Linked DNA regions of Xenopus tropicalis. The protein of the gene in region 1 interacts with the protein of each later gene in a biochemical or structural test. Links are inferred from orthologs where the notes say so. Each region holds a gene or a part of one and is shown on either strand. Other genes may lie near its edges.

What was found.
Region 2: the proteins of cdc42 (region 1) and cdc42ep2 form a complex in vitro, tested with the Homo sapiens proteins (3 studies listed by BioGRID). The link is inferred for Xenopus tropicalis from reciprocal best matches to the Homo sapiens genes CDC42 and CDC42EP2.

Annotation. Positions count from the first base shown.
Region 1 is NC_030683.2:94,425,835-94,429,398, reverse strand, and holds part of cdc42 (cell division control protein 42 homolog), read left to right. Parts: intron 1-546; coding exon 547-656; intron 657-736; coding exon 737-934; intron 935-3,564. UniProt on the Homo sapiens protein: Plasma membrane-associated small GTPase which cycles between an active GTP-bound and an inactive GDP-bound state. In active state binds to a variety of effector proteins to regulate cellular responses. Involved in epithelial cell polarization processes.
Region 2 is NC_030680.2:31,692,211-31,696,324, reverse strand, and holds the start of cdc42ep2 (cdc42 effector protein 2), read right to left. Parts: upstream 2,807-4,114; 5' UTR 2,722-2,806; exon of another isoform or gene 2,718-2,721; intron 1-2,717. UniProt on the Homo sapiens protein: Probably involved in the organization of the actin cytoskeleton. May act downstream of CDC42 to induce actin filament assembly leading to cell shape changes. Induces pseudopodia formation in fibroblasts in a CDC42-dependent manner.

The DNA of each region.
Region 1 (3,564 bases):
GGAACAGTTTAACTGTCCAAGTGAAATATGGATTTTCTTTGTCCTGTCATTTTAGAATATGTCTGTTATTGTTGCCCATAATCTTATCACTGACCCTCTGTATGCTTTTCTAGTCAGTAGGTTTAATTTTGTGATTTTTACTTACATCTGCTTTTATGAAAATATAAGGCCCGTAGCACAAGTAACATTTCTCTTTTCGGAGGAAAAATGCCTGATAGCTTTATGTCGTTAAGATGGATGAAAACTGCCACCAGTGGTGACAGGTGGATTCTATTTACCTGAATGGCAGAGGCACAAATAGGTATTGATAGTTTTTCAGTTAGTTGACAAATGCTTACTGCAGTAGTGATAGGATGACGTTCCACTATATGGTGCTTAAAAAAGGTTGACTCCATGCTTACTACTAGACATGGTAACAAACTTTGGAACAATTTTCTTTAGTAAAATAAATCAGTCTATAACTAATGAACTCTTGTATGGCTAGGTTTAAATGGTGACAGTATTCAGCGTGCACTCTTTTTAACTAGTATTGCTCTCTTTCCACAGGACAGGAAGATTATGATAGATTACGACCTCTTAGCTATCCACAGACAGATGTGTTTCTAGTTTGTTTCTCCGTCGTGTCTCCATCTTCATTTGAAAATGTGAAAGAAAAGGTATTTTAAGTCATTTACTGTGATTATTCTTTTTACTATATTAAACTATCCTCAAACCAAAACTGTTTTTTTGTTTTCAGTGGGTACCTGAAATCACTCATCACTGTCCCAAAACTCCATTTCTGCTGGTTGGCACCCAGATAGATTTAAGAGATGATCCTTCAACAATTGAGAAACTGGCAAAAAACAAACAGAAACCAATCACTCCAGAGACAGCTGAGAAACTGGCCCGTGACTTAAAGGCAGTAAAATATGTGGAGTGTTCTGCACTTACGCAGGTGAGAAAACAGCAGCTATGTTGTAGAGCTTAATGCTCTCCAATGGTTATACTCTTAGACCTTCATTAACTTGTAGCTCTCAAGTAGATTGCATAATAGTTTAGATTTTGGACTAGTACAAATAGCTTGAAGGCTGATGCAGTATATTATAACTGTATGAGGAAGAAAAGGGTATTATGCCAAAAAAATAGAAATGTATTGAAATACAAATTCTGGTTCATATTATGGGATCAGCATCTACTTGATTGTTGTAGTAGAGTATTTTAAAACAGAAGATCAGAAAACACATTCCTTTTTTCTATATAAAATGTTATCATTTTGGAAAGTGCATTACAAATTTATGAAGACTGTAAATACACAATCAAACTGACTTTCCATGGAAGTATACAGGTATGGGACCTGCTATCCTGAACACTTGAGACCTGGAGTTTTCTGGGATCTTTCCATAATTTGGATCTCCATACCCTATCTACTAAAAATCATTTTAACATTAAATAAACCCAATAGGATTGTTTTGCCTCCTATAAGGATTAATTAGATCTTAGTTGGGAGCAAGTACAAGGTACTTATTACAGAGAAGAAGGAACATATTTAAAAAAAATTATTTAAAATGAAGTCTGCGGGACAAGCCCTTTCCTTAATTCAGAGTTTTCTGGATAATGTATACTATACCTGTATCTGAAAGGCAACCATTGTAAATAGATTTAGGAGAGTCCAGTTAGTACCTTTTGAAGTACCCTCTATCCATTTTTCATTTTATTTTTTGTTAACCCCTTTTTCTTTCCTACACTTCCTTTTCAAGGCATATATAGAACATGCTTGCTTTAAGACATTTTGTTGCCTCGTCTTAAAATATTATATTAACCTTGTTTCTTTAGAGCATGGGAGTTTTGTAGATTACTCTCATCAAGCCACCTACCCCATACAGGGCCAATACACCCAATTCAAGGAGTGTTCTCTTTAAAGAAACACTGTTGTTCCTGCTATTGCTGCAAGGTAATGTGCAGCCTAACAGCTTGGACTAACTCTTGTGCCTGCAGTAAACCTTCTGCTGTATTCAGGGGAATTTGCCCGATGTTTACATAACCTGCAGCCACTCAGTGCTTACATGAAAATAAAAGCTTTCTGCAGTTATGGTCTTCTACACAGTGGAATAGAACTTACTGGTCTCAACAGATTTAATTTACCACTCCTAAACTTTGTGAATAAGACAATTTGCCAGACTGTAGACTGCTTATCTTTCAGTTCCCCATGTATCCCCTCTGCCCTCAACTGCCTATAGTTATTCCCCTGCCTCTACATAAACCCAGTTGTCTTGGAAAATCCATTTCACTGGATTATTGCCTTGATATCGTATAGACCACTTGGCTTTCAACACAGACCTGCCAGATTATTTGGTTTACAGTGTTTTCCATTTTAGTAAAGTACATTTTTATTTTCGGTTTGCATTTCAGGTTTTTTTCTTTTTGTAATCACTTTTTTTCCTTTACTTTAAATTCTCAACTCAGCTGCAAGGGTTACGTAGAAGACTCAGTTTGGATCTGCCAACTGTATGCATGTTGTGTCTCTGTAAGGGCTCTGGCACATGGGGAGATTAGCCCACGACAAAACTCCCTGTTCGCGGGCGACTAATCTCCCCGAGTTGCCATGACCCGCCATCCCACCGGCGAACAGGTAAGTCGCTGGCGGGATGGCACGCGTGGCGGCGCGATTTCCCGAAATTGCCGAAAAAGACTCGCGAGGCTTTTTCGCTGGAGGGATGGCGGGTCATGGCAACTCGGGGAGATTAGTCGCCCGCAAACAGGGAGTTTTGTCGCGGGCGACTAATCTCCCTGTGTGCCAGAGCCCTAAAGCACTGTGGCACTATTTTAAGGATATTACTACTCGGAGCTAATTAACTGCACTTGGGGTGGCATCATGTACAGTATTTGGCATCATGACATCATGTACAATTTCTATTTCATGTAGGGTATAGCCATACACACACTTGTTCCATTTTGCAGCATGTTCCTTTTCAATCCGTTGGGTTATATACTTGGCTTGAACAGCTCCTAGGATAAATTTCTTTGTCTTGACATTTTTGCCCACACTTATAGTTTAAGCCTAGAATATAAATCCAGTTACTCAGCATTTAAAATGGCTTTCGACAATCCAACATTGTAATATGTAAGTGCCCCTGAACTTATCTTCTGCCTCAGAACATATTGCACCATTTCTTAAAGGTGTTCTGTCATGGCAAAACATGTTTCTTGTGCAACATGCAGGTAATAGTGCTCCTCCAGCAAAATCCTGCACTGAAAGAGCAAACCGCTTTTTTTTTTTATATTTAATTTTGAAATTTGATGTGGGGCTAGAAATGCATACTCTTAAGGTGGCCATACACGCACCGATATTATCGTACGAAACCTCGTTTCGTACGATAATCGGTGCGTGTATGGCATGTCAGCGAGCCGACCGATATCGCAGGAAGCTGCTGAAATCGGTCGGCTCGCCGATCGGCCAAGTTAGAAAATTTTGATCGGGCGCCATAGAAGGCGCCTGACCAAAATTCTCCCTTCAGAGCTGAATCGGCAGAAGGAGGTAGAAATCCTATTGTTTCTACCTCCTTACCTGCCGATTCAGCCCTGAAT
Region 2 (4,114 bases), on another chromosome or scaffold:
TCAGTTTTAGACCAAAATGCAGGACTGCCTATACATAAAACAAATTGCAACAAAGTGATCTGCCCAGCTGGTTGGATCAGTGCAACTAGGCCACATGTACTGAAGGGAAATACAAACATGGTTGGATATCCACGTTCTGGCCATTGTGTTCCCATACTCACAGCAGAAGAAAATAAAAACAGCAATGTGCTGGTGGTAGTTGCAAAGAAACGGACACCAATCCTGTGATCTAAAAAGGAACCACTCATCTTTAACTAAATCGAAAAACAATGAATATATTAATAGACGTTTTGCCTTTATATATGTAATGAAACCCACAACATTTTACATTAGTAGTTCCCAAACTATTGAGCAGGGGGGTGACAGCTGGCCACCCACGTGCTAGGCCAAAGTAGGACAATCCTACCCCATACAGAGGGGACTGCAAGTCCTGTCAGATGAGGACTGACACCAACATGCTGACAGGGTCCTTGTCAAGTATAAAAATAAAACCTGTCCCTTTGATATCTGCTCTATTCTCATCCAGATATCATTTGGCCAATCCCATCAGTGGGTCCAATACATGGGCCAATAAGCTGCTGACTAGGTCTGGAAGGTTAGCTTTTATTGGGTTATGTATAGCCACCTATGTATGGAACTAAATGGCAGATAAATGAATGCTATCCAAAATCTATGTAATGAACTATGTAATGAACTATGTAATGAACTAAAAGCTGTATGAAGCCTTTTGTACTTCCAAAAGAAACCACCCCAGGGGTGGTTTCCTAACCCTATAGCTCTGGTGGTACCAAAGCTGCTGTTGTAGCCCCTGGCAAAGTGCTTGACCTGCATGGAATTATATATTTTAATAAAATTTGTAGTAAACATGAATTTGCATGGTGGCACATCAGGTTCAGGTAACATCGTTGTTCTACGTGTATTTTGTACACTCTCCCAATTTCTGCATGGGGTGCCTCCTAGAAACAAATGATCACTGTTTGACAGGGACCCTAGATCGCCACTGGGAGAGGGACCGAGTTGACATAATCTTTGCACAATGCAGCGGCTTTATATAAATAGAGGTCCATTTTTACTAGAGACTGTGCTATAGTCCAAAGACTGAATGAAACTAGATCATGGCCTGGAAATATGCTCCCTTATTGAAGTAGAAAAGGTATCTATAGCATTTTCATAGACGGTAAACTGTTCTTATTTCATTATTGACACTATTTAAATTTAACAAGAGCAATTCAAAATCTAATCATTCTATACCTGTTATTATAATATCCCTTTATTGTGTTGCAGCATACCTCAATGGCTTACGAGAATTGTTTTCCACTGCCATAAACAGAGTATTATAGTTTGGCTATTTCGGGTCAAATTGCAAAACCCTCACTCCATGCCGATTTCCACTAAATCCCCTATTATAAAGCACCTGGCAGAAGGGAAGGATCTGTTATCCGCAAAAGCCAAGGTTATGAGCATTTCGGATAATAAATACATGATAGTTTCCCCACAAGGCCCAGACTGGCAATCTGTGGATTCTGGCAAATGCCAGTGGGGCTGTTGTAAGATGCCATAGACAGTCACTGATAGTTAATGGGCTGGCATGGACTATTTGGGCTTTTTTTGTATCCCAGTCTAGACCTGTCTACCAAACCCTTTCATATAATGGGAAGCGACAGATACCACGCCTCACTGCCACTTCCTTTGAGAAATGCGTGTTCCCACATGTGTATCCCGACTGTACAATATGACGTACAACTGGCCAGCTGGTCCCCCAAAATCAATCATCCTGTGGTTTGAACTATGAACCTTACAAGATGGCTTTTATTTAAAAAAGCAACTTACTGTTCCTTTAAGATTGAAATGGCAGTGTGTAATATGAGGACAAAGTAAATTGATATACTGGGGCCTCTTCCTGTCACAGAGGCCAAACCATTGCTCATCACAGGGACTTACTGCATCAGAAAAGATTCCAGGTAAAGCACTGCCGATAACCGGTAACACTATATAAGCTGGATTTGTCAATTTCAGCACAGAACCTCCTATTCAGCCTTTCTAATGGCACTGAGAGCAGCATGTGACAGTGACTGTTTACAGTGGCGGCTCACGAGGTGGAATGACATTCACCCATCATGTGTAAATCCGACGAACAAATTCACATACAGTTGGGATTATTAGTGTATTCCTGGCAGACTTATTTAGGCCAAAATAGACAAGAATTAACCAGCAAAGTCCTACAGGTCCTAAAAGAGGGGAACTGGGCAGAAATAGACCTGAGTAAGTGAACATTTCAGAGTAACACCACTATGTAGGGAGTATAAGCACTATAATATATATATAATATATACATACACACACACTGGGTGCAACTAGCCACAAACAAATCTGCAATGTGACTAAAGAAAGATCTGTACTTCCTGGTTAGCACTAACTGCCTGGTACATGCAGGAAATGGCTTACCTGCTAGCAGCCCTACACAAGGCAGCACATTTAGCACAGATTTACAGAAGTCACAATAAAATGAACAGAAGTCGAACAGAAACACAGTACTTAAACATATGAAAACTGTCTGAAGGAAACTGACAGTTGTTACAGAACTTCAAAGGAGTCTGGGAGCTGTAGTTGCACAACATCCTGAGAGCTAGCGCTGTCTAACACAGTCCTTAATGTAACTACGTCAAAACAGCGTGGGAATAACAGCATACATATATAGAAGTGTATAGAAAACGCACTCACTACACGTCTCGTCCCAGAGTTCGCAGCCGGAGTTGGGAGCGGCTGTAAGCCCCCTCTATCTGTCGCTCAGGGTCGGAGTATCGCACAGCCACAGTAGGGAACTCACGCAGCGCACATCAGCCAGCTCTGCTTCTCACAGCCACAGCCCCGCTGCAAATTATTTGGGAGGAACCTAAGGGGGAGGGGCTAGATGCTGGCAGCCAATAAGCGAAGAGACATTCTGGGCAATAGTATGTGGCGGGATTTTATGCTTTCCCTTTCCGTCAGTATTTAACTCCTTCCCTGGGATGTGTATACTATTTACTGCACTCTATTTCTTTCAATTAAGCCTTAACCCTGTGTTTTTTAGGCTCCTTTAGGTAAATATTCAATTTGTTACTGTTTGACATAATCAATTTCTAGTGCAGAGCACAATAACACTCTCTGCACTATAACAGCCAAAATTCTGATTTCAAATGTAAGCTCTTTAAGTTACCAGAAGCAGCAGCAACCCTGCCTGGATGTATGAAATAGACCTGAAAAGTGCTGCAGCATTGTCTGTTATCAGGTGATTTATATACAAGGCTATAGGGCAGATCATCTTTTCTCCATTTGTTTCCAGAATCCTGTTATGACTTATCTCCATCTGTGTAGAAACAGCAGGCAGAGAAAAGCCTATAAACAACTCTGTGTGCCAGTAACCTAAGGCTAATGCCACAAGGGTGTGCAGGCAAAGGAAAATGGTAATGCCAGTATATGAGTTTATCCCCAGGCCTAGAATCAGCCCTGTGGAAACGACCATACTCACCTTTCTTTTGCTTTACAGAATGAGGGGAAAAAAAGAGACTGGAGTGCCTCATGAGGAGAAAGATTGCCTGGCTACTAGGGAGCTGGAGGAAGGGGCCATACCGCTGAAGGGGGTTTGAAAGAAAAATAATCCATCTCTCCCATCAAAGCAGGCTCAGGTAAAACTGATGCCACAAGTGGCTGATTTTTGGCCTGCGGGGAAAAACACAGGCTGAGAAGCTGCCCCTCCACTGGCATCAGCCTTTGCCAGCTTTGATAGCTACTCTAAGCAGGCATATTGTAGAACCACCAAGCAGCAGTTACACATAGGCAAGCAGTATAAGTAGCCATATAGTGCCAGTGGAACTGTAACCGGTGATACAGTGATGTTTAGGTCATTTCCATCTAAAGCCACCCAACCCATGCATCAGCCCCTCACATGACTACAGTGATAGTTACGTTCAGTAGCAACTTTGGCCATCAATGTCACCACTGAAATATGCAGTAGAACCCCAATTCCATTGGGTTGGAGCCCCAGCTGGACATCATCACTGGGGTATTTGTTTCCCCTTCTCATCCTAAGCTCTGCTTACTGATATCAGAACCAGCACGTGCTGCAGATTTCATC